Linked DNA regions of Sus scrofa. The protein of the gene in region 1 purifies or fractionates together with the protein of each later gene. This does not show direct contact. Links are inferred from orthologs where the notes say so. Each region holds a gene or a part of one and is shown in the gene's direction. Other genes may lie near its edges.

Evidence for each region. Proteins that work in one complex are often made in the same cells at the same time.
Region 2: the proteins of DICER1 (region 1) and PRKRA purify together in Homo sapiens (co-immunoprecipitation; 4 studies listed by BioGRID and IntAct, with this or other methods). This does not show direct contact. The link is inferred for Sus scrofa from reciprocal best matches to the Homo sapiens genes DICER1 and PRKRA.
Region 3: the proteins of DICER1 (region 1) and AGO1 purify together in Homo sapiens (co-immunoprecipitation; 7 studies listed by BioGRID and IntAct, with this or other methods). This does not show direct contact. The link is inferred for Sus scrofa from reciprocal best matches to the Homo sapiens genes DICER1 and AGO1.
Region 4: the proteins of DICER1 (region 1) and AGO3 purify together in Homo sapiens (affinity purification with mass spectrometry; 3 studies listed by BioGRID and IntAct, with this or other methods). This does not show direct contact. The link is inferred for Sus scrofa from reciprocal best matches to the Homo sapiens genes DICER1 and AGO3.

The regions. Positions count from the first base shown.
Region 1 is NC_010449.5:116,432,450-116,438,754, reverse strand, and holds the start of DICER1 (endoribonuclease Dicer), read left to right. Parts: upstream 1-2,334; 5' UTR 2,335-2,434; exon of another isoform or gene 2,435-2,595; intron 2,596-6,305. UniProt on the Homo sapiens protein: Double-stranded RNA (dsRNA) endoribonuclease playing a central role in short dsRNA-mediated post-transcriptional gene silencing.
Region 2 is NC_010457.5:84,153,179-84,159,391, reverse strand, and holds the start of PRKRA (interferon-inducible double-stranded RNA-dependent protein kinase activator A), read left to right. Parts: upstream 1-2,795; 5' UTR 2,796-3,009; coding exon 3,010-3,074; intron 3,075-3,635; coding exon 3,636-3,805; intron 3,806-6,213. UniProt on the Homo sapiens protein: Activates EIF2AK2/PKR in the absence of double-stranded RNA (dsRNA), leading to phosphorylation of EIF2S1/EFI2-alpha and inhibition of translation and induction of apoptosis.
Region 3 is NC_010448.4:92,035,306-92,041,633, forward strand, and holds the start of AGO1 (protein argonaute-1), read left to right. Parts: upstream 1-2,910; coding exon 2,911-2,935; coding exon of another isoform or gene 2,936-3,116; intron 3,117-3,195; coding exon of another isoform or gene 3,196-3,509; intron 3,510-6,328. Other genes in the region: vegetative cell wall protein gp1-like, read right to left, coding at 1,979-2,202, 2,509-3,116, 3,196-3,509.
Region 4 is NC_010448.4:92,079,012-92,085,180, forward strand, and holds the start of AGO3 (protein argonaute-3), read left to right. Parts: upstream 1-2,751; 5' UTR 2,752-2,953; coding exon of another isoform or gene 2,954-2,972; intron 2,973-6,169.

The DNA.
Region 1 (6,305 bases):
TAATCAGGGCAAAGGGAAAATAAAAATTAGCCCACAGAAAATGCATACCACATGGTACTGAACCGTTGCTTCACACGGGCTGAAATATTAGCTCTAAGATTTCAGGTGATCCAAACAAAGTGTGAAACACTATCCCTCACAAGATTTTATGTCTCTGAATTTAAAACAAACCAGCAACTGGAGCATGAATAGATAGGCCATCGGAACAAAACAGTCTCGAAGTGAACTCTTCAACAAATGGTCAAGAAACGGCAAACTATGTAGCCATCTGGAAAAAAAAAATTTGGATTCTTACCTCACCCCATATACTGAATCAGTTCCAAATGGATCAATGCTTAATTGCAAAAGACTGGCTGTCTAAATGTCTGTCAATAGAGAACTGCTTAAACAAATTATGGGCACATCCCTGCAATAAAATATGGGGACAGAATAAAACAGCAAGTTTTGTATATATTGCCACAGACACATATTCTCGATGTATTAAGTTAAAAAAAGCAAGGTATAGTAAATACGTATGGCAGCCTATCCTATTTGTAAACGAGGACTGTCTTGGCTTGTATTGCATAAAAAATTCTCTAGGGGAATGAGCAAGAAACAGTGGTTACCTGTTTGGAGCATGGGCACAGGTGTAGGGCATTCTTTTTACCGTACACCTTTCTATGTTTTCTGACTAACGAACCATATGTATGTACGACTTACTTTAAAAATTCAAAACACCCTGATGAAAATCAGACAAACTTGCTGATGGAGAAGCTCAGCTAGTCTTGACAGACTGAGAGGATAGCAGGAGGGCTGAGAATTTTACCTGCCCACCCACTTCCGCTGCTAGTGACCTCCAGTTACCTATTCCCATCCTCGGCTGTCATCCTTCTCATAAAAGATCTCTCCAAAAAGCCTTTACTTAACATTACTAGGCAGGTCTGTTGCCCCCAGTGCAATATAAGTGCTTGATATATAAAAACATGTTATTTTTACGGAGGTCTGCCCAGAACATTCTGACTACTGCCTAATTTTACCCACAAACATGCTTTTATGTGAAATTTCTAGCCAATTCACAGTAACGACGTGCTCAAAAAGTGAGCACTGCAGTGACTGAATACACCAGCCCTGAAGCCAGACTGCCTGGGTTCAAACCTCAGTTGTTCACTTAATAGCGGCTTCCTTGCTGGAGGTTATCCACCTTCTTCTTCTGTTAAAACGGGGGGCATTTACAGCATAAAAATCACATAAAAATCAAACCTTACAACAGCCTGCCCAACAGCAATATAGTGCGAGTCACATACGACTTTAAACACTTTCTATTTCTAGTACATACACCAAAAAAATAAAAGCAAACGAAACCATTATTTATCCCCATATACCAAAAACACTATCACTTCAACTTGTCATCAATATCATACCCGTTAGGGAGAGGTTCTGCATTCTCTTTTTGGGTAAAGAATACATACATCTGAGTATCAGCTATCATATCTCCACTGGGACTAGCCATACTTTTAAGTGCTCAATATAGCAGGTGCTAAGTGCTAATTCTTAGAAGCGTGGCTGCTATTACCATACCTCATCTGGAGTAAGCCACTGTACCACGTGAGTCATCTGGAAGACGGGCCTACATTTTGGGATAAAGTCATAGGATTTGCCTTTAGCCAGTCACTTCCTGGACCTCCACGTTTTAACTCACAGCCACAAAACACACGGTTCCGATCTAAGCAAATGAACAGTTCGCATAAATGGGGCCGCTGCCCCCTCTCATGTGCAGGTTATCTCAGTTGCGAGACGGGGGTGAGGGTGGGATGAGTCGTCACCCCAAATGCGGGGGGCCCAGCACCACTAACCCCGGGGGGGGAAAAGCAGGCGAATGGGAAAGTCCTTTAAAAAGGGGAAGGGCTGGTAAAAGGAGCGCCGAGCCCTTCGGAGAACAATTACGGCCGTGGGGCAGGGCCACGTTCCGGGGATGTGGGTGCCAGAAGGGGCAACAATGGAGGCGGGCGAATTCCGCGAGCCAGCAGATTCTGCCGAGCCAAGCGAGCGTCCGCAGCCCCGGCCCGCGGGCCCTTGCAGGGCCGCGAAAGTGCCGAGCCGCAGGCGGTGGAACGTCCGGGTTGGGTCTGGGCTCTGGGCCGCAAACGCCGCCTGGGCCTCCACCGCGCGAGTCCACTGTCTCCCGGCTCCTGAGTGGCTGGGGGGCCGGGGTTAACCTTTCACCGCCGCGCTCTGTCCAATCACAGGCTCGCTCTCATGCCGGCGCGGGGCGAGCGGAGCGTGGGGGCGCGGAGGGGGCGGTGCGGGCGCGGGTGGGATTCTCCAAGCTGCTGTGCGCCGTTGCCGCGGGCCTTGCGCGGGCTGCGGGCGAGCCGGCCGCTGCGCAGTCTCCGCAGCCGCCGGCGGGAGGGGTCGAGGCGGAGGCGCGGCGCGGCGCAGGCTGCTCCAGGCCCAGGTGAATGGAGTAACCTGACAGCGGGGACGAGGCGACGGCGAGCGGGAGGAAATGGCGGCGGCGGCGGCGGCGCCGGGCGGCACCGGGAGGCCTGGGTTGTGACGCGCGCGCCGAAGCGGGGTCCGATGGTTCTCGAAGGCCCGCGGCGCCCCGTGCTGCAGGTGAGGCGTGCTCCCGCGGAGCCGCTTTGTGTCCAGGGCGGGGAGCGGCTCCGCCCGGCCCCGCGCCCGCCTCTGCGCGGAGGCCCGCGTGGGCGCCCGGGCCTGGGCCCCGCGGTGGGGGGACCGGCGCGGGCAGATGGCGCGGCCTCGCCTGGTCCTGGACGGCGCGGCCTGCGGGGCTGGCGTCCACCCCGCCGGGCTCTGCGCCTCCCCGACCCCGGCGCCCGTCCCGAGTCGGCGCTTCGGAGGGACTTTGTGCGGTCGCCCAGGCACCGGATAGGGACGCGGGCGCCTCCGCTGCGGGCGTGGGGCCGGTCCTCGCCGCTCGCCCCGGGCCCGCGGAGAGCGGGGCTTTGACAGGTCCTGTTAACGCACGCGGCAGTGGTGCGGGATCAGCAGCCCCGTCCCGGGAGCATCCTCGGGACCCGGTGGTGGCGGTGGCTGCGCTGGGCCTCCTCGATGGACACCTTCGAGGGGGCCAGGAGGGAAGGAAGCCGGGCCGTCTGTGCTGGCAGGAAAGTGCGAGCCTCTGGGGCGCGCCCTTCGAGAATTGTTCGTGTTTACTGGCAGGTGACCAGATCTGGGTCCCCAGGGGCCGGTGACCGAGGCCATCTTTCCCCCCACCCCTCCTCTCCAGTGTTTTTGTGCCAGATCGCCTGGACCCTGCAAAGGAGCCTTTCTTAAGGGTTTTTAAATCTGCTTTGGGAAATCAGTGTATGTTTCAAGTTAGCATAGTAGATTTTTTTGTAGATTGTCCAGAAGAGCTGAGCTGCCTGGTGGCTTTGCCCGCGGTACAGAGCTAACTAACCACTTAATGTATCTTTAATAGCTTGAAGATTTGCAAAAACCGAGACGAGCGGAGAGTCCTTGCTGTAGAGTTCAACCTGTGCTTTTGGGAGGAAAAGTCCTGCTGAAAGGGGCACATTACTGACTCATCTAAGTCTGAAGTATTGCGACTATCACGATTTAAAAGCGTTCATCTGATTCAACAGTATTACTCTGGAGTCTGTGCTTCTTGCGGTGCTTTGGCCTTTGACTTTTCTGAGTCGTCACAATCCTGATTTTCAGTTGTCTTCTTGTTGCTTGTTTTTTCAAGTGCAGCACAGTGAGTGGAAAAGGGCACAAGTCAGGAGTTAAGTAACTTGGAAATTATTTTTTTTAATGTGCTTTAAATAAAAGGCTAACCACATTGAAAGAGTATTGGCATAAACATTAAATTTTCTAAATAAAAATACCCATCTTTGCCAAGAGCTCCAATAATTTGTTAGAGGATGAATGACGGGACAAGATTCTGAATGTGCTGCTAGTGAATAGTAATTTTAGTATTAGTATCTTTGGGAAGTAGGTTCTGGAATAATCAGTTTATTTTGCAAAGCATTGTCTTTAAAGCTTGCTGTCCCTCTGGGGCATATGTATATTGTAAGTAATATATGAAACATATATGGTTACTTCAGAACTTCATTTCAGGACATATTTTATAAAACTATAGGTTAGAAACACTGCAGAGATTGCCTTTAATATGTCACTATGGATACTTAAATGGCAATGAGGGATTTATTCAAGGCATCAAAATGCTGTTTTAAGAAAAGATGTCCACGTTTCATTTGGGGAGCAAAGCCCTCCTTTTTCTGCAGTAAGGGCTTGCTTTCCTTTTTATGCTGTCTTCTCATCATTAAAGGCTAGTTCTGCTTCTTGTATTATGCCTGTGGGTCTGTGTGTGAGTTGTATGTGAAGTGGTTTTGCCATTGCTGAATTGTATTGTCTTGGTTTTAGAAGACATTTTTATCTTGATGTGGCTCATGATCCTAATTTGACAGTGATTTTGTGGTGGTGTGCAGTGGGTAGTACTTTTAAAGTACTCCTGTCTTCAAGAAGGCTGACCTTTAAGGCACTGAGATATTTATTCCCTGCCGCTCTGGGACAGATGGAGGAGATACTTGTTTCATTTGAGAAAGTAGGTATTTCATGGACATTCAACTTAATGTTGTCTTATTTTATTTATTTATTTTTTTTGTCTTTTTTTTTGCTATTTCTTGGGCCGCTCCCGAGGCATATGGAGGTTCCCAGGCTAGGGGTCCAATCGGAGCTATAGCCACCGGCCTACGCCAGAGCCACAGCAACGTGGGATCCGAGCCGTGTCTGCAACCTACACCACAGCTCACGGCAACGCCAGATCGTTAACCCACTGAGCAAGGGCAGGGACCGAACCCACAACCTCATGGTTCCTAGTGGGATTCGTTAACCACTGCGCCACGACGGGAACTCCATGTTGTCTTATTTTACATGCAAGGAAGCTAAGACTTAGAGGGTTCTGACTCTAGAAGTGACAGAGCCAGGATTGGATCCTGCTCTGATTTCACAGTCTTTACGTGTGGGCGCTTATCCTTGCGTTGCATTGCATCGCTGCTGCAAGTGGACTTGAGGTGAAAAACCTGCATAAGTTGCACGTAAGTCCTTAGTTAATACTTGCTGAATGAATTGAAACTGTCTCACCTTAAGTGTCCAGGTGACCTTTGATTATCTGAATTACTTAACATTTGCCTCCTTTTTTGTGGTAAAATACAACAAAAGGTACCATCTTAACCATTTTTAAGTGTTAATAATGCAGTGCTGTGGCATTAAGTGCATTCACATTGTTCTGCAGCCATCATCACCATTCATCTTCCTCAACTGAGACTGTCCCCGCTCAGCGTTAACTCCCCATTCCACCATCCTCCCCGGCCCAGGCCACCATCGTTCTGTTCTCTGTCTCTATGAATCTGACGGCTCTTGGAACCTAACGTAAGCAGAATCAAAACAACATTGTCCTTTTGTGACTTAACATTGCATCTTCCAGAATCATGCATCTTGTAGCCTGTGTCAGAATTTCCTGCTTTTTCAAGGCTGAGTAATATTTCATCATACATGGATGCACCCCATTTTGCTTCTCCATTCATTCTTCGATGGATTCTTGTGTTGCTTGTGCGTTTTGGCTTTGTAAACAATGCTGCTGTGAACAGAGGTGTACAGATTATCTGTTTGAATCCCAGCTTTCACTTCTTGGGGATTTGTTTCTTGATCATCAAGCAAGAAGTGGTCAGATTGTTTCTTAATCGCCAGAACACTAGAATAGACTCCGAATTTATTGCAATATGAGTTTTCTCAGGGTAGTTCCGGATAGTTCTACTTTCCCACAAATAGCAACTATTTGTTAATAGAAGACTTTAATCTTTTTGAGGCCAAAGACTTAGCTGTTTTTAATGATCTCCGTTTCCATCCGTATTAGCAAGTAGCTGAATTCATTCGGTTGATCCATCGTGGCGCCCTCGTTGTGCTCTGTTGGATGCCAGAGGGAGGTACTGGTCAGGTCTGTGCTTAACTTGGGTAAAGAGTAAGTTGGAGCCGAGTGGTTTCCCCTTGTGCTCTGGCACGTTCGTGAGTGCAGCACGCTCTCAAAGCCCCGGGGATGTATGTGTTTGATTGGCTCCTCTGAGGATGGGTTCAAGAGGGCCTTCTAACAGACAGGTGTTTGAGAGGACTCTGAGCCTGAGGGACGGAGTGTGGAGAGAGCTGGGGGGATTCGATGAGAGGCTTTGAACAGGGATCATTAGCATCTCCATGTAGCTAAAGTTTGTTATTTTTTCAGTGTTTTATTAGTCAAAGCAAAAGAGGAAGCAGGACTAATTAGAGTTGGCATTGATTAATGAAAGGAAGTGTACCAATTCATCAGA
Region 2 (6,213 bases), on another chromosome or scaffold:
CTAGCCTATAATATATTTGTTTACCAACCATAATAACTTCATCAAAAAAATAAATATAAATGACTTGCATCTCATTTAACCATGTGAGAGGTAAGACTAAATAATACCTCCATTTTATAGAAAAAGAAAAATATTATGCCATATCCTAAGCTGATTTGATTAAATCAAGTTATAAAAGAACTGAAATTAAATTATACAATAAATAATCTTAAAAATACATTTGATATTATTCAACCAATAAGAGATTTGATACTATATAAACTTTAGACATTGCTGATCTTAATATTATTAAAAATGAGTTACCTTTATCAATGAAAATGTAAATATTACAAACATAGGCAGCATATACAATGTATTTTAGATTACTGATAATATAGCTGAAAGAGCTATATTATGAATTATATAAAAATGCCACTCCAAAATAGACATTTAAACTTACCAGCTGAAATTTCTCTGTCTCCTAGAAGAATATCTTTCAGTGTAAAAGGTGTTGAGGTAAATTTATATCTAGGAAACAGAAAACATCGCTTCTTTTTTACCACCAGACTTAGAGGTTGGTATTTGTCAGCCTCACTGAGGCTTGGAACAGGAACTAATCTCCCTCCATCTCCAACTTGCTTGACAAAGCTCTTGGTAGCAGCAGCAAACATATTAATAAAGCATCAAAATGTCATAAACTGCAATCCTCAGATAACAAATACATATTTTCAAAGAAAATCAGGCATAAAACTAAGTTTTGCTGATTTTAAATATAATTATTCATGTTAAAAATACAAAGCATGGTTTCACCAAGGGGCTTACCAGTCTACAATTTACAACACTGCCTCCCCTGGTGTGCTCAGGTAATGAATTATAGATTAACTGTGTAAAATGATATACTAAAAGCAAGTCTAATTTGGAATAGTAGTCTATAACACTAAAATATACACAGAAAACTTAGTAATTTTTAAATATCACCAATGTCCTTGATGAGGGTCACAGGTGATAGTGATTTGCCAGGTTTTAATGAAGCATATGGCCCTATGGGGAACAATGCAATTTAGCCACTAACATGAGCCCTGGACACCACCAACAATGGATCTAGTCCAAAGGGAATTCCTTCACAAGTCCATTACAATAATTTTGGCAACAGAAAAGTACTCTTACAAATCCTTATGCTACACAGTTCATTCTTTGAACATTTCATTCATTTTTCCTTGTACGTTTATGAAACCAAGTGATTAATATAAAAATAAATTCGCAGAATATACAGAAACAAATGTATGCAGAACTTTATAAAACACTAAGTCATATTACATATAACTGAATAAACTCTGAGCTAGGGATTTCTTATGCTGGAGATGACACATAGGGTCCTGCTGCATTTATTTTTGTTTCATAATTATCTCGGTTACTCAACCTTTAGAGAAGTATATAAAGTTTAGGCTTGTCTTTTTTGTTTGTTTGTTTGTTTGTTTTCTCTTTCTGCTATTTCTTTGGGCCGCTCCCGCGGCATATGGAGGTTCCCAGGCTAGGGGTTGAATCGGAGCTGTAGCCACCGGCCTACGCCAGAGCCACAGCAACGCGAGATCCAAGCCGCATCTGCAACCTATACCACAGCTCACGGCAACGCCGATCCTTAACCCACTGAGCAAAGGCAGGGACCGAACCCGCAACCTCATGGTTCCTAGTCGGATTCGTTAACCACTGCGCCACGACGGGAACTCCTAGGCTTGTTTTTTAGGAATTTTACGGCTAAAAATAAATTTTAGAAACAAATCTGAGTCCTGGAATTATGTATTGCCATAGCTATGTGGATATTAACATATTCTGAAGTAGTGGCTATATGGTACCTTCAATAAGACATTCATTAAAACATAACAATGGATAGTAATAGATATACATCTATAGAGGGAAGAGGGAGGGAAGAAAAAACAGACTTGTTTCAAGCCTCAAGTAATATAAATCACTTTGATTAGATCCGGATTTTTTTTCTTTGCTTTCAAGTATCCAGGGTTCGAGAGTTAACAAAAGTTTCCAAAAATGTCTCTTCGTGTGATCAGTATTGTGCCAGGCAATCCAGCAGAACGAGAAAGTACAAGGGGTTATTTCTGCAAGCAAAACCCCTAGCAGCGATAGGACATCTCATGTAGCTGAGTCCCATCAAAGGTGGTGCATCCCAGGCAAACGCCATTACAAGCAACACAGGTGTGCAGAAGCAGCAGTTAATTGGAATTGGGTTCAAAGAAAAGCCTTCGTTTACACCTAAGGTGTCTTGCTGGGACCCGCTATCCTAGCACTCAGCAGTCGACGAAGACAATGAAGCCCACCCCGGGTGAAAAAAGTGGGTCTCCCTACGTCTCCACGATCACCTAATGGCAGGCTTCAGCGACAGGACGAGCCCACCCGCAGCCTTCAGGAGCCGATATACTGCAAGTCTCACGTTTCGGGCCCAGACCGGGGCAGGCTCTCTGGCAATTTTGCATTTGAAATTTTGAAATCATTTTCTTAAAGTGACGCAATCGTCCTCTTCCCCCCCTCCCACCCACCCCTTCAAAAAAAAGGCTGAGCTGCAGGCCTCACAGACTGAAGCTTGCAAGCCCGCGGACTAGCCTCTCTAGGCAGGAAACAGCCTCCTTTTAAGGACACAGAACTGCGGTCTCCTCAAGCCGCTGGGCAGAAGGCGGGGCACCGTCTGCAGCTGAGGACTGCTGGGGCTGCGGGGAGGGCGGGGAGGGCACTAGAGAGCCTGGAGAGCAGGTGGGCGGGGCTGGCGAGGAGCTCCGCCAGAGCTGGGGCAGCAGGGGGCGTGGCCGGGAACGGAGAACGGGGAACCGTGCTCTTGCACGGAGGCTCCACCCCCGCCCGTCCCCCGGAGGGACGCAAGAGGGGAGGAGAAGGGGTGTCGGAGGAGGGGAGGAGGTGGCGGCGTCGGCGCCGGATCGCTTCTCTCGGGGACCGGCCGACCCGTGAGCGAGAACGTAGCTCCGCACTGCTCTTCCTCCCGCTGGAAAACCGTCCCTTCTCACCATGTCTCAAAGCAGGCATCGCGCTGCGGCTCCGCCGCTGGAGCGCGAGGACAGCGGGACCTTCAGGTCAGTGCCCTGGCGGTCGGGACCGAGCCGGGAAAGGCCAGGAGTGGTGGGCAGGAGAGGAGGGGGCGGGGGAGCCGGCTATCCAGCGGCATTCTGGGTAAAGCCCCTTCCTGGCGCTCGCGTCCGGGCTGCTGCTGCTGGAGCGGAGGCTAGCTCTCGGCCCCGCCCTCTTGGCGCGCTGGCCGGGGTCTCCAGCAGGGCCCAGCCCCGCCCCTCCTGTGACCTCGGGCTGCGCGGGGTGGGCGGAGGTAGCACGCGGCAACCCCGGTGGGTTTTGTCGGCTTGGTACTGGAGATTGCAACTCCCGTGCGTGCCTCCCGATTTCCTTGCTACTCCCTTCTACCCGCATTCAAGTTATCTCCCTAAAGACCTCCGTCCCCCTGCCCTCTGCCCGCCGCGGCGGGGTCCGGAGGCTTGGTAAGCCTCTCCAGTCTGGCCCTGGCCGACGGGCAGCTTCGGTGCCTTCGGCGTCACCATTAGGGGCTGTTAAAACTAGTCTCAATGCTTCTATTTCCCTCCCCGTTTTGACGTGCAAAGCACAGCTTTTTCTGGTTTTTGCAGTTTGGGGAAGATGATTACAGCTAAGCCGGGGAAAACACCAATTCAGGTATTACATGAATACGGCATGAAGACCAAGAACATCCCGGTTTATGAATGTGAAAGATCCGATGTGCAAATACACGTGCCCACTTTCACCTTCAGAGTAACCGTTGGTGACATAACCTGCACAGGTCTGTATGCACAGTTAACCCTGATGACCCTGTAGGTTGGCTGTCAAGAGCTGGTATTGCTTCTCTGTTCCCGAAAAGTGTCCTAGAGACATCATTGAGGAGCAGGCTCTTGAAACTGGGACCTTTCCCGGATCATTGGGACGTTTCAACTTCTCTGATTCCCTAATTTTCTCTTCCCTAGATACTAAGAGAAGCTCAGAAACATACCCTGGAACCCTCCTAGGGTTCTTCCAAGAATTAGGTAGAAGCGGGAAAGATTCTTGGAGCAGGCATAGCTGAATTAGTAGATAGTGTCAAGTTTCTTAGGTTATAGCAGATGGCAGAGGGCATGACCTCAGAATTTTCTGAGCTGCTCCCCTCTGTTTGGACTCATTTGGCACTTTGGACCCATTGTACCATGCTGGACTCTATCTAAGCAAGCAACAAGCAACTACAATGTTGTGTGGCAGTTTCTAGTTCTTGACACTGTACAAGTTTTTTAAATAAGATGTTATCTCCCTTTTTTTTTTTTACAGTTGAGGAAATCTGTTCAGAGAGATTATAAGAAACATGCCCAAGGTCACATAGTAGTGAAGTTTCAAGATTCAGATTCACCTATGGTCATTGAGCTAGAGCAAATAATAACTGAAGTAGCCCATTTGCACCTGTAGACATTTTATTTCTTATGTATTTAATTGCAAACACAAAAAATATTGATTACTAAATTTAATTTGGAAGAATGCCAAGGAAAATATTCAACAGGAAGGCTGAAGTTCCACCATCTGGTAATCTGAAGGCATCATTTGTTTGTGTCCCCGTTATTTTCAATTGAAGCCACGTTAAAAAAAAAAATTCAGGATCTTTTTTGTCTGTGTGGGGCAGGTGGATTGTAGCTAGATTTTAGCTAGAAGATTCCTCACAGGAATCATAGAATAAGCATTGCATTACTGCTTTAGCTGGTCTATTTGTAAATGTTGGATGAAAATTCAAGAAAAAGTAGCTCTCCCCCTCCCCCCCCCCCCCCCCCGAGGTTAACAACCTATGGCAACTGCTCAGCCCTCCTACTCTTCTCACACTGCCCTGTCTTCCTGTGTAAGCTTATCTGTCTATGGCTTCAAATACTACCTAAAGGCTGATAATTCTGAAATCTGTCTTCAGCTCAGGCCCAGGTACAGAACAGTGTAGCAGCCTGTGCTTGCTAGACATTTTCACTTGGATGACCCAAAGACACCTCAGTCTCTCACTGACTCAAAATGAATCCATCTTCTCTTTCAAACCCATTTCCCCTGCACTCCCCAGCACAATAGAAGCACCTTTCATCACCCATTTGCTCGAAGTAGAAATTTGAGTTTCATCTTCTTGATCCTTTCCCTTCCCTCCTCTTGTTTCCCAGTCTGCCACCAAACCCTACTTCCTAAATATCTCTCTTTTTTTTTTTTTTTGGCTTTTTAGGGCCATGCCCATGGCATATGCAGGTTCCCAGGATAGGGGTTGAATCAGATCTGTAGTTGCCAGCCTACACCAGAGTCACAGCAACGCCAGATCTGTGCTGCATCTGCAGCCTACACCACAGCTCACGGCAACGCCAGATCCTTAACCCACTGAACAAGGACAGGGATCAAACCCGCAACCTCATGGATTCATTAACCACTGAGCCACAACGGGAACACCCCCTAAATATATCTTGAATCTGCCTGCTTCTCTCATCTTCACATTGCTACTGTCCAAGCCACTTGGATTATAGTTACAGTCTCAAAGCTGCTCGTTTAGCTTCTAGTCTTGTGTCCATTTTCCACATAAAAACCATAGTGTTCTTTCTGGCATTCATATCTTTTCATATACTTCCTCTTCTTAAAATCCATTCTGTTTTTCACATCACCCTCTGGATGATTACAGATTTCTTAATGTGACTGACAATCTTACTTCTCAAAGTGTGAATAACAACAGCAGCATTGATTTCATCTGAGTATTTGAAGGGAGTGCAGAATATCAGACCCCAGCCTAGACCTACTAGATCAGAACATGCCTTCTAACGAAATTCCCAGGCAGATTCTGAAGTTTGAGAGGTACAAATTTAGGAGATCACTCTTTGACCTCTCCTACCCTTCAACTCTCTAGCCTTTTATCTCAAAATTCCTTCCCTCAAGCTCTTAACTGTCCCCAGCGATGTGGGGCTTGAGAGTACCACACGCCATGCTGCCTCTTAGCTTTTGCAGGTTCCCTTTTTTCTGCCCACCGGCCCTCCCTAATCCCCCAGCTTTCTTCACCTAACTTTTACTAATCTTTCAAGTCCTTGTTTAGTTATCTCCTCCTTCATGAAACCTTCCTGAATCCTTACCAAGAGTATGGGAGGGAGCTGTGCCTTTTGTAGCCTACCCTACAACCTGCACTTGGGGCTGCCGTAACCCTCCATATTTCAGGTCTCTTTT
Region 3 (6,328 bases), on another chromosome or scaffold:
AAACAGAAGGAGCCATTAGCTTTCTGGGAAGGTACATCAAGAGTTACTGAAAGAAGCTTGCATGAAAAAACAAAATGTGAAGTTTCTGTTGTGGCTTACCAGGTTAAGGACCTAACCTAGTGTCAGTGAGGATGTGGGTTTGATCCCTAGGCTTGCTCAGTGGGTTAAGGATTCGGTGTTGATGCCTGATAAGGCATAGGTTGCAGATGGAGCTCAGATCCGGTGTTGATGTGGTGTAGCTCTGATTCAACCTCTAGCCGGGGAACTTCCCTATGCCACAGGTGCGGCCATAAAACAAAAAACAAATGTTATCTGGAATTCCTTTATATGCTACCACTTTACCTAGCCAAGAGTGAAATCCCTGGTGATAGAGACACTCCACAGAGAGGCCAGGGTCAGGCTTGACACCAGCAGCCACTTTGGAGGTAGATCAGAATAGTGATCTGTGCCTTTCCACAAACTTAACTGTGAGGCTTGGTATTTAGAACAGGGGATTCAGACTCTTCTTGAGGAATGCTGAGCTTCCATCTTAGTTGTACTAAGGCACTGGTCTTGGTTTTCTGAGAATGTTTTGATGCCATCTGTTTGATTCAGATGAACCCAGATTTACTGATCAACCTAGGCACATCTTGTGTCAGGCACTAAAGGGGGACAGAAATGTATGTGATATGGTCCTTGTTCTTAAAGAATTTAGAATGTAGTACGAGAGGCAGACAGTAATTATGGTAGCAGCCAATACTTTGCTTGCATTCTTTTAGGTACTGTTCTAAGTTTTTCCTTTTATATGTATTAATAACAGCCCAGTGAGGTAGGTACTATTTTCACCCTTTGAAACGGGGGAGGAGAAAATTAAGACACAGAAAAATTAAGTCATTTGCTCGGTGTTAACACAGCTAGTAAATGGCAGCACCTGGGTTGAAACCAGAACAGTGTGATTCTAGAGCCTTTGTTCTTAACTTTATATTGTTGGAGCACTAGTTCTCAAAATGTCCCCAGATCAGCAGCATCAGCCTCATCTGAAAACATATTAGAAATCCATATTCTTTGTGTCCCACCTAAGACCTCCTGAATCATAAATTCTGGAGGTGGTGCTCAGCATTCAGTGTTTTAACAAAGCTGATGCCTGCTGTTTGTGAAACTCTTCAGAGAAAAGCAAAGGATACTATGAAAAGTGTCAGAAATTAATCTCCTCCAATGGATAGTGACTGGTATGGTCTCTGTTAAGTTTCTAGCCTTCTGCACAGCATCTAGTGGAAAGTAGGTGTCAAACAATACATGCGGATGAATGCATATGAATGAAAATATGGAAAAGTTATGTTTGAACTGGGTCTCTTGCCACCTATCAGTTGAAGGGGACTGAATGGGAGTAATGTTCCCAGAATCTGTGAAACTAGCAAGGTAACGTACTTTTGGCAAGACATGATAAGGGTCTGCACCAGCACAAGGAACCATCAGAATGGCAAGGACGACATATGAGAGCAGTTCAGGAAGTAAACAAGTCAGGTCTTGGTAAACAGCTGGCTGTATGGGTGAAGAAGCAAGGATCATTTCTGGGGTGAAGGTGCCCTTTGCAGAGACAGGAGGTACAGGACAGGCACATTTGTAGGGGAAAGAGAGTTTGGTTTGGGACTCTAAATTTGAAGGGCTGGTTTATCCAGGTGGAGCTGTCCAGCAGACATTTGGAAATATGAGTCTGAGACATGGTTGGAAATAGAGATTTGGAAGGATAGTTGAGCCATAAGAGTGAATGACACTTTTAAGGGGAAAGTGGAAAGTGGAATGAGAAGGAAGAGCTGGGTGTGGAACCATGATGAACACTGTTACTTAATGCGTTGAAAGCAGGGGGGAAGGGTCCTTGAAGAAGACTGAAGAGGACATAAACAATAGAAGACCTCAGAAAATGCTGAAGCCAAGTGGAAGGCTCAAAAAGGAAGGAGAGGCACAGTGTCATATGCCGCAGAGAAATAGGGACTGAAAATTATCCTTTGAATTTAGACACAAAAAGTGTTTTAAGTGGCGTGGTGAGGGGCAGAAGCGGATTGACTGAGTTCAGGCGTGAGCTGTAGATGAGAAAGTGGAGACAGGTGCTTCCCAGGTCCCGCAGGTAGTGCTCGGTAGCTGCACTTAAGTTTGAGAATGTGACATCTTCCAGGGTAGGCAAGGTCTCTTTCACATCTGTGGTCTCAGCGCCCAGCACTTGGCCTGGAAGAGAGGGTGGCGTCAGTGAGTTCAGTGACTGGGGACGGAGAAAGGCTTCGCGGAGGCAGTCGCTTTGCAGCCGAAGCTTGAAGGATGAGGGTGATTGGGAGGAGAGGTGGGAGGCAGGGCCCCTGGGTGATGGGTCTCTCAGAGTGTGTGAGGGTGGCCCGGGAACGTGGTGGATATGCACGCGTGGCTCTGTGCGAAGGGGGAAGGCTGTGTATGGGCTTGGAGGGACCCATTTGGGGAAAAGACAGGGCCGGAGGCTGCTGCAGGGGTGTCCTCCCGCCCCGCCCCACTTAACGCTACCGCGCGGTGCCGCGGCGCCTCCACCGGAGCCCTCCCGCCGGGCTGCATGGCGACGGGTGACCGCCAGGGGCCGCTGCCTCCGGTCCCCGGTGCCCCCGCCCCTCTCCATTGGCCTTTGTTGCCGTCGGAGCGCCCCGTTTGACTCGTTCCCGTCCGCCCCCTGGGCCTGGCGGTCGCGCCTGCGCACTGGCAGCTGGCCGGGCGCTCGCAGGGGGAGCTGCTGCAGGCTCCGCGGCGGCGGCGGCAACGGAGGCTGCGGCGGTGGCGGCGCGAGCGGCCGGGCTTGGCGGGGGGAGCCGAGCCCGGCCCGGGAGCCTGAGCAGCTAGAGTGCGGGGTATCTAGACCCCTCACACTGGACTCCACAGTCTCTGGGCCGCCTGACCTCCGCACGGGTATATGGGATGGAAGCGGGACCCTCGGGAGCAGGTAAGGGCCCCCGGGAAGGGGGGACGGTGCATGCTCCAAGGACCAGGGTACTTCCGCGTAAAGGGCAGGATTTCCGAGTGAGGAAAGGTTTCCTGAGTGAAGAAAGGGGCTCTTAAGAGATGGGGGGCCCAGTTTGAAGGGGGCTGTGTGCAGTTCCGGGGGAAACCTTGTGAAGGGAGCTCTGAGACGAGGGCCATTTATCAGAGACTGTATGCACTCCTGGAGGTGGGAAGTGATCTGAGAGAAGGGCCTGAACACACGTAAGGAGTCCTAGAGATCCCGGGAGGCCTAGGGAGAGGCACGGCAGGTGGCAGGGGGCGGGCTCCAGGTGTTCAGGAGAGGAGGGGGTCGACACAGATGGGCCCTGAGCTGCCGCATGCCGGGGGCGGGGGTTCATCCCGGCTAGGCTGGGTTGGGTTTGTGTCTTTTCGGGAGAAGGCGCCAGATCTGGGCTGTGAGCTCCGCCCCAGCCGGGCCTAACGCGGGGGCGAGGGTCAGGGGGCGGTGGGTGGGGATCCAGCCCCGGGATTCCCCCCCTTGAGTCTGGGGAGCTGGAGAAGAGGCGCCGGAGCATGCGCGGAGGTGGCAGCTGGAAGGGGCTGCCTGATGTGGTGGGGGCGTGGCCGCCCGAACCCCCCCACCCCCAATCGTGCCAGGTTTGGCTTGGAAAAAGGAGCGCGAGGATGGGGTGTATTCTCTCTTAGGTCATGCTGGCTTAGCGCAAATGGAAATGGGCCCCTTCCCCATCCTGAGGCTCTTGCACTTGGCCCTGAAAACCTTCAGTCACAGTTTGCCAAGAATGGATTGAAGGAAACTGCCAAAGTGCCTTATTCTGCTACTGGGATGAGGAAAGACTGAGATAGAAGCAATGTTTTAGGTTAGAGACGGGTCCTTCCTGAAGACAGGCCTTAGAAAATGTATTGGTTACTTAGGAACCGAAGTCAGGGCCAGGTTTGCCTAGAAGGGGTTGTCTTTCCGGTTTGCATGTTTCTGGTCCAGTAGTGAACAGAGTTGGGATCTTTTAATCCAAGTATAATGACCTCTCTATTGAAATGTCTCCAGAGGTGACAGCCTAATCTTTCTATACCTTAATGTTTTTATGGCTGCTATCCCCCACTGGGTATCTTTTCTTTTCCTCTCTCTACTCCCCAGAAACTCCTAGGGCCATGTTATTACAGGTTGCCAAGCTAGCCTTTTGCCGCAAATAAGTTGTTTGGAGTAGGGGGAAGTTTATAGCCTTCACCCTGATGAGTCTCAGATCATAGCTTTAATGTCTCGTTACTCACAACCAGGAGAAAAGTAGGTAAGAGTAGAAGAGAAACTGAGGCAGAGCTGCCCCAAGAAGACCAGAGTCCTTGGATGGGCTGTAGGGTGGAGACACCTCCTGTGTCCTAGATAGGAGACCTTTGATGGGAGGAGTATGGACCTTTAGGTCTTGTCTCACCACTTCCTTCCATTTGATCTGGGGGTGGGAATAGGATTTCCACTGGGGACATGAATTTCATTTCTGGTTGAAGAATCTTTGTCTTTTATACCACAGCTATTCCCCTCAAGGAAATAGCTCCTACCAGCACATTCAAGTCATCTATTCAGTGACTTCTAAGTACTTAGTGACTACTTTCCCCAAGACAAAAACAAAGCTGGAATGCTGGGAGCAACTGACTTGAGAAAACTACTTCCTTCTTCCCTTAGGCCCCTTTCTCCGTTCAGGGAACTCTCCTAGTTTTCTGGGCTGGAGACAACTTGCGACAACCTATGGACTAGGGTAGGAATGGGTCACAGAGGTCCAGATGGATTGCTGGGAGCTGGCACTCATTCCAGACTGTGAATGATCTTGTTGATCATTTATCTAATGATGAATGCCTAATGGACTCTGGAGTGATGAAAAATTTGACTTTGTTGTTGTAAATAAATAAGCTTATAGGGAAGAAACTGGAGCCTGGTATCTGGAGTTGGCTGTACCTTAATGGGGCAGGCTTTACTTGCCTGGTAATTGGAATTTATTCTGAAAGCTGTGAGTGGAGGGATTTCCATAACTGCCTCCTTCCTAGGCCCAGATGATTTTCTTGGAGGTCGGAGGATATGATACACAAAGCAAAGTATTGTTGCTGGCTTCATTGGGCTTATGTCCAGATGTGCCTTCTGTGCTTAAGTGTGTTTTAAGCACATATACTGGACTGGGAACTCCCAGGGTAGAGGTGGTGTCTGATTTATCTGTGGAGGCCCTGACAGAAGTACATGTTTATTTTTTGAATTAAATCAAATTCTAGTGTGAACGTAAATGGTTAACACATATGTGAATGTTTAATAATTTGATGTACTCAGTGTGTGATACTTTTTGGTGAGATTGGCCTCTTAGTCTTTGCTTATCAGACAGCTAACCTAGCCTTGAGTTTGTCTTTTGAATGGACAGTCTAGCTCCTTGGGAGGTATGTGGGCCTCAGAACTGCAGGGAAGGAATCCCTGAGCCAAGCCTTTCAGCTCTGATACTTTTCCTTCTCCCGGCTGGTTGGGGATGGGGGAGGGGGAGTGTCCTTTTCATAGCCCCTCCCTCCTTGCTTTTGTCTGCAGGGAAGGGCCCCGCCCCTTTCCCCCAAGGCCCAAGCTTTGTCCTCTGTGCTGGGGCCCTCATCTGCATCACAAAGTGGCCGTCTGTCCCTGTCTGGGTCTGAAGGGAAGTGTCTCCCTTTCTCAGACTAAAAGCTGGGGGCAGGGTGGGGTTAGAGGGGAACTTTGAAAGCCTTGCAGGGGGATCTGGTGAGGAAGGGGTTCTCTATTCCTCCTGCCTTCCCTATTTTGGGGATGAAGGTGAAGGTGGGGGCTCCCTGTTTTCCCCAAGCCTTCTAGGAGTAGAGGGTGCCTAAGGCTAAGTCTGGTGTGTAGTTCTGGGGAAGAGAAGGCTTTGAGACTTGAGTGTCTGTCCCATCCCCCATCATTTCTACCCAGCCCCTAGCTCTAGGGGATGAGTTTCTCCCAAGGCTCCAAACAATTATTCAGCCTGGGAGGCTATGGAGGTGAATGGAATATTAGAACATAGGGAGGGGAAGGGTGTCTCTTACCCGCTACTTCCACCAGGGTCAGGTTTGTCCTGTGCAGGATTTGTAATTGTTTCTGAGCAGTTTGCAGGTGTTTGTGTGCTGTGCATGCGTGTGTGTTCTTTGTGATGTGTCTTTGGATCTGTTTGTTAATTCATTTGATATCTGTATATTGGACCCCTCCTATATGCCTGGCACTGGAAATTCAGCAGTGACCAAGGCAGATACAGCCTTTATATCTTTGAAGAAATCAAAATCTAGGGTGGTGAGGGATATGTGTATGAAGGTAATCTATCCAGGCCTAAGTGTGTGTTTGGGTGTGTATTAAGTGTGTTCCTCTATGTGTGTATGTCTGTCT
Region 4 (6,169 bases), on another chromosome or scaffold:
GTAAGGACTCTTGGTTAGGCATCCAGCAGTGTCTGCTCTATGAGGAAAAACTGTTGTTTGTTTATTTAACAGATGAGGAATGTGATGTTCAGAGAGAGTGAATTTCCTAGAGTCACAGATAGTAGCAGAGGGCCTTCAGTGTCAGCTCTGACTGTCCCTAAAGCCAGTATGTTTTATATTGTGTTCTGCTGCAGTACAAAGTAGCTTTCTGCCATGTAAAAATTGCTTGTGTAGGAGAAGAGATCTCAAGTGTCATGTTGGCTAGCCTCAGCCCATGCAAGAGGAGAGAGGATTCTATCCAGTTGCTTTCCTCATCCAGTGATGTTTATCTAGCACAGTTAGGAACACAACTTTCAGAGGGCACTGATTTCTGTGCCCCTGAGATTTCTACACTATTTTATAGTTCTCCCTTCTGAGAACAACCATATCACAATGGATGAGGGCAGAGTTTTAGCCTGCTTCCTGAGCCCCTCTGTGAAGCCCACTCACCTATTCATCCATCTACCTGTTCCACAAGATATTTATAAAATGCTGCTGTGTAACAAGCAGTGGCACTGTTCTAGGCACTGGGGCTTTGTCATTTAAGATACAAAGAGACCCTGCTCTTATGTCCTTAAGACTCACTTGGGAATCCAAAACTATGATGTGCATGTGCTCAGAGGAGAGCTCTCACAACTTTGCTTTTGGAAGAATCAAACTTTTTTGCCTTCCTATTTCCTGATACTGTAACTTCCTATGCATAGGAGATATATCTGTATATATCTGAAATATTCCTATTTCCTGACATTACAATTCATGAGCCTTTCACACGGGCTTAGAGATGGGGGATCCTGAGTAGCAACAGTAAATGGGAAGGCATCATTGACATTTATTAAATTGGATTGAATTAGAAGGTCCAAATTCTGCTTCATCCATGTCATCAAATAAGGCTTACCTTTGGGGTCCTCATCGTCACTATGTCTATTCTGGGAGACACCTAAGAAGCCTACAGTCATTTAGGGAACCTGTTGAGGGGGTTGAGGGTGTGATAGACCCTTGCAAAAGTTGATATTTACCCCTGTCAACTGCTGTGGAATCCCTTTAGTCAAGGATTCAAAGTAACTTTTAAGATACAGTGTTTCATCTAGTAACATTTGATATTTTAAAATTGGGGAGAGCATTTTTTGTAAAAGGTAAAGTTATAAAAGTCAACTTATAAAGTGTTTACTATATGGTAGGTGCATCTAATAAGTGCTTTAAAATGGTAACTATAGTAAATACATTCTTACTAACATTTAGGGTGGATTTTCTGGATGCATAACGTGCATTCGTTAACTTCACAGCTGTGAGGAAACTGAAGCCCAGAGAGGCTCAAGTGACTGATCAAAGTCCCCTCAGTGATTGGGCTGGACTAAAGATAGGATATTTTTTCCTTTTCCTCTTTGTCCAAAGCTTTTTTAAAAAGAGTGTATTTTGATTATTAAAAGTCTAAAACATTACTGATGCTTCGGGACGTAGGGAAAAATCATGAATCATTCCTCATCCTGAATAAAATAGTATCATATTTCTTTAAGGCAAGAAAGACTAATGTGCTGGTCCTAATAACCTTATAAAGCTTACATTCTAGTGGGGGAGACGGCACATAATAAACTAGTACATGAAAACTGCAGATTGGGATATGGGCTATTAGGAAATACTGTAATAATATACAGAAGTCACTGATCATAGATCAGACGTCCGGGCAAGACCTCTGAGATGTCTGAAGTCGAAGTATGAAGAGCGGTTGGGGAGCTGAGGGGAAGGGGTGAGGGTGAAGAGGAAGAGGGCTCCTGCCAAGGGAACCAGAAGCAGAGACGCTCCAGGTCTATTAGGCACTTTTCCTTTTGCGGGAATTGGAAGCAGACCAGTATAGCTGTAGCATAGCGACGAGGAAGATTCTCACTTGAGGGGAAAGGCTGGGGCCCCGTTACAACAGGCGGTTTGGCCCCAGAATGGACTTTGGGTCTTAGCCTGACCAGGCGTTATTAAAGAGTTTTAAACATGGAAGTTATTCGAGCTGATGTTTGTGTAAAGTCATGTTTCTTAATCTAACAGAGTTATAGTGTACATTCCCCCCCCCAAAAAAAAATGGTCGTCAAAGCAACTCTACAAACGGAGTGATCAACTGTGGTGATCACTTCACCGCCTGCAGAGGAGGCGTGTGAGGCGGTCCAAACCGGGCGTGGTGAGAGGGTTTCGAGAAGGAGGGGGTTTTTACCCAAGACCGGAGATCGGCCCAGGGCCCTCAGATCTTTGTCCTGCCCGTCGCACTAACCACGTTCCCGGGAGGCTCCTGTGCAGGTTGGCTACGCCGCCCTCTAAGACGTCGTCTCAGACAAGCACGGCCCTGCATCAAGGCGGCAGGAGGAGTCCAGCCCCTCGGGGTTGTCTCCGGCCTGCACCGCCCGGCAGAGGACAGCGGGAGGGCCGGCCCCGCCGCGCTCGCCACCCACGGCCGCGCTCGCCTCAGGCCCCGCCCAGGCGCGGCGCCCGCTCGGTGACACCTCCCCTGCGTCCTCCGCGCCGGCCGCGCCCGCACGGCTAGGCTGAGAGGCGAGGCTTGGACGTCCGGCGAGCCCGGGCAGCGGAACTGACGCCAGCGGGCTTCCGGGGGCGGCCCCCGGGGAGGTCGGCGGCGGCGCCGCAGTCGTGGAGAGGCAGTGGGAGCGTAAGCGGCCGCGGGCGACGCAAGTTCCGTACGGAGCTCTTCTCTTCTCGCCACACGCTTCTTCCTCTCTTCTAGTCTCGTGCTGCCTCCCGACGGCCGATCTTCCTGACGGGAGCTTTCAGAGTGCGGTTGCTGAGGAGAAGCTGTCGCCACCCCGCCTCCGGGCCGAGTGAGGGTTCCTGTCGCGCCGCGTCGCTCCCTGCGCCGCCACCTTGCCCTCAGTGGCGGGCGCCCTTCTCGCTCGAAGCACTCCCCCCAGCTCCATGAATGGAAATCGGCTCCGCAGGTGAGTGAGTCAGAGCTGCTGGTCCGTTCGCCGAGGTATCCCCAGAACGTCGTCGCTCCCTCCGCCCAGGCCCAGGTGCGCGAGGTGAGCGGCGCCCGGGTGGCTCCCTCCTCCGCCCCCGGCCCCTCCTCCGCCTCCCCGCAGCCCTGCGGCGGTTCCCCCGGCCACGGAGTGGGCGAAACTGCGGGGAGGAGACGCTGCTGACAAAATTGAAGTTTAGGGTTCTCTAGGCGATATTACTCTTTCACTGGAGTCCAGAAGCGTTTGTCATCGCTTCTGTTATTCCAGTTGAAGATGTAACGGTGTGTGTGTCCTTTGACCAGGTTGTGTGTCCCGTAGGGGCACTGGGCGGCCGGCACTCTCCCTTGCTTATCTTTTAAGGTAGTCATGAGGATGCATTAGGATAACAGATAAAAACTAAGTTTAAGATAGGTATTAGTGCAACGTCAAATGCAAGATGGCATTTGTGTCATCCCTGAGTTCTCATCTGATGTTTGTGGCAGCATGGTATATAGTTTCTGAGGATCTTGGAAATGTCATTATCAGCCTGGATCACTGCTTATGTGAGGCGATAGGTCTTAAAATTTCTGTCCGTCGGTCTATCTAGCTACCTGTCTTTTTCCATTTTTCTTTTTTTTCCTAGAGAATCGGCCATCATATTCTTGGAAATTTGGAATTTAAGAAAATTGTTTCTCTCTTTGGGAAAAATGACAGTCTTGAGAAAAAAATTGCAACATGGGCAGTGCTTATCGTAAAAAAAAAAAAAAAAAAAAAGAATGAAAAAGCACTCTTTATGGTCCGTAATTAACTGAAGGACATAAAGTAGGTGTTACGTAACGGTTTGCTTTCCAAATGATCATACTTGGTATGCTAAATTTGGAAGTATGCTTCATCCAGTCAGAAATTTATAAATTAATTTTGAAGATATTTGGGGGGGTATCTTGTTACTAATAGGATCACAAGTCCCTGAATTTCACATCTCATTTTGCCAGTTCGGGAGGCACTTAAATATGAGATAAGAAAAAAATCATATAAAAGAAACCAGTGACATGATAATAAAGATTTTGTTGACTGCGTTAAGGAGTATAATTATCAAGTAGATGCAAAAAGCACTTAGAAATTGTAGAGATGGGCTGGAGAGAAAGGTTTATTACAAGTTTTATTATATGGAATTTTCTCTAATCAATTTCTATCATTTCTCTTTTGCATGCTCCATTTTCCCCTCTTATTCATGTCGTCTTAAAAAGGGCAAGTTTGTCTAGATTATCAGGAGTTTTAGACTCTTGTTTATCATCGATTTGTGTATTTCCAAAACTGCCCTATCCTACCTTTTTTGTTTTTTGTTTTTCAATTTTCTAATACACTATTTAGAGATTGTGATGATTTGGAAACTATATGTAATTTTTATATAACTGTTCTATTGTTGAGCCTGAAAAACAAACATGAAAGTTAAAGACTTTACTAATTATCTTAAAATTTTAAAGACATTTCCAAAACATTTTTAGTTTTTTTCTTTTTCTTCTTTGGGTTTTTCATATGAAATTATTCCCAAATATGTGGATAGCATCTTAGAAAATACTTCTGAAGTCAAACCACCTAGTCAATTAGTCCACCTAACCAAGTATGATTCATTAAATGCTGCTATGAATTCTTGAGCGATAGACAACTTTTACCTCATTTTTCATGTGCTATCACTGAAATATATACCCATTTAACTGTCTTCACATCTGCAGAGGTATGGTTAGATTTATCAACCATATACGTGGACATCTTGAAACACAAAGTTTATTCTTCAGTGCAGCTTAAACATGATTTACTAAAGAAGATAAATTATAATTTGGCTCAAGATTGTCATCTTCAAGAACAAAATTTTCTTTCTTCGTAAGACTTACATGTAATTGTTATGCAGCAAGTGAAATTGAAAGCATAGTTGAGGAAAATATGCAGCTAAATTTAAAATCAAGAATTTGACAGATAATACATTTTGCTTTCAAAAATTTAGATGCACATGTTCTCTGATAGTCTGTTGAGTCAGTGTTGGTTCTTAACCCTCCAATTCTGATCTGAGTTTTTCTTTTCTATGTAGATTTTCAGGAATCATCTTATGGCAAGGTGTTATAAATTCTAGTTGTTAGGTGGATACATAGAAAACGAATTTATTTACATTAGAGGACTTCAGATACAAATTCTGTATAATTGTTTCTTGATGAGTCATTCTTCACCAAAAGTTAATATTTGTCTACATTTTCCTTTCGTATGTAATATTTTAAGTGATTTTTTAAAGGATGTCCTGTATAATGTACTGATTTAGTACTGTGTGAACTTTGATTTAACCAAAAAGCTGGCAGACATAATTGTTTTTTGTTTTTTTTTTTTAAATTTTATTTTCCCACTGTACAGCAAGGGGGTCAGGTTATCCTTACATGTATACATTACAATTACAGTTTTTCCCCCACCATTTCTTCTGTTGCAACATGAGTATCTAGACATAGTTCTCAATGCATAATTGGTTTTTAAATAATAATGATTGATAGTTTAGCACCTGTGCCTATGACTCCTTAATTAAGGGAACTTTTGATGAAACTAATTTTTATGGTTTAATTACAGCTGGACTAAGAGTATATATGTTATATTTTCATTCTAAATAAAGTGGGAATAGAAGAAGCAGAAAAGTTCATGGAGATAGCAGTTTTCCTGAATAACTTTTTTAGGACATACTATTCTAGTCTGTATTTTTAGGTAAAGTCAGACTACTGTTGAGGGCCTAAGGAATTGTACTTACCTACTGATGGAAGAAAAAAATTTTCTATTATCTTAAATTAATGATAAGGCAAAATGATTTGAACTGTTCGGTAGTTGTCTCATACAGTCTTGCAAAATGAGTAGGTTGTTTCTTAGTTATATTCTTAAATTAGTGTTTGGATATAGTTGTTTCAGCACTCTACATTTCTTTCTTTCCTTCTTTCTTCCTTTCTTTCTCTTTCTCTCTTTCCTTCCTTCCTTCCTTTTTTTTTTTTTTTTGTCTTTTTGCTATTTCTTTGGGCCGCTCCCGCAGCATATGGAGGTTCCCAGGCTAGGGGTCGAATCAGAGCTGTAGCTTCCAGCCTATGCCAGAGCCACAGCAACGCAGGATCCGAGCTGCATCTGCAACCTACACCACAGCTCACAGCAACGCCGGATCGTTAACCCAGTGAGCA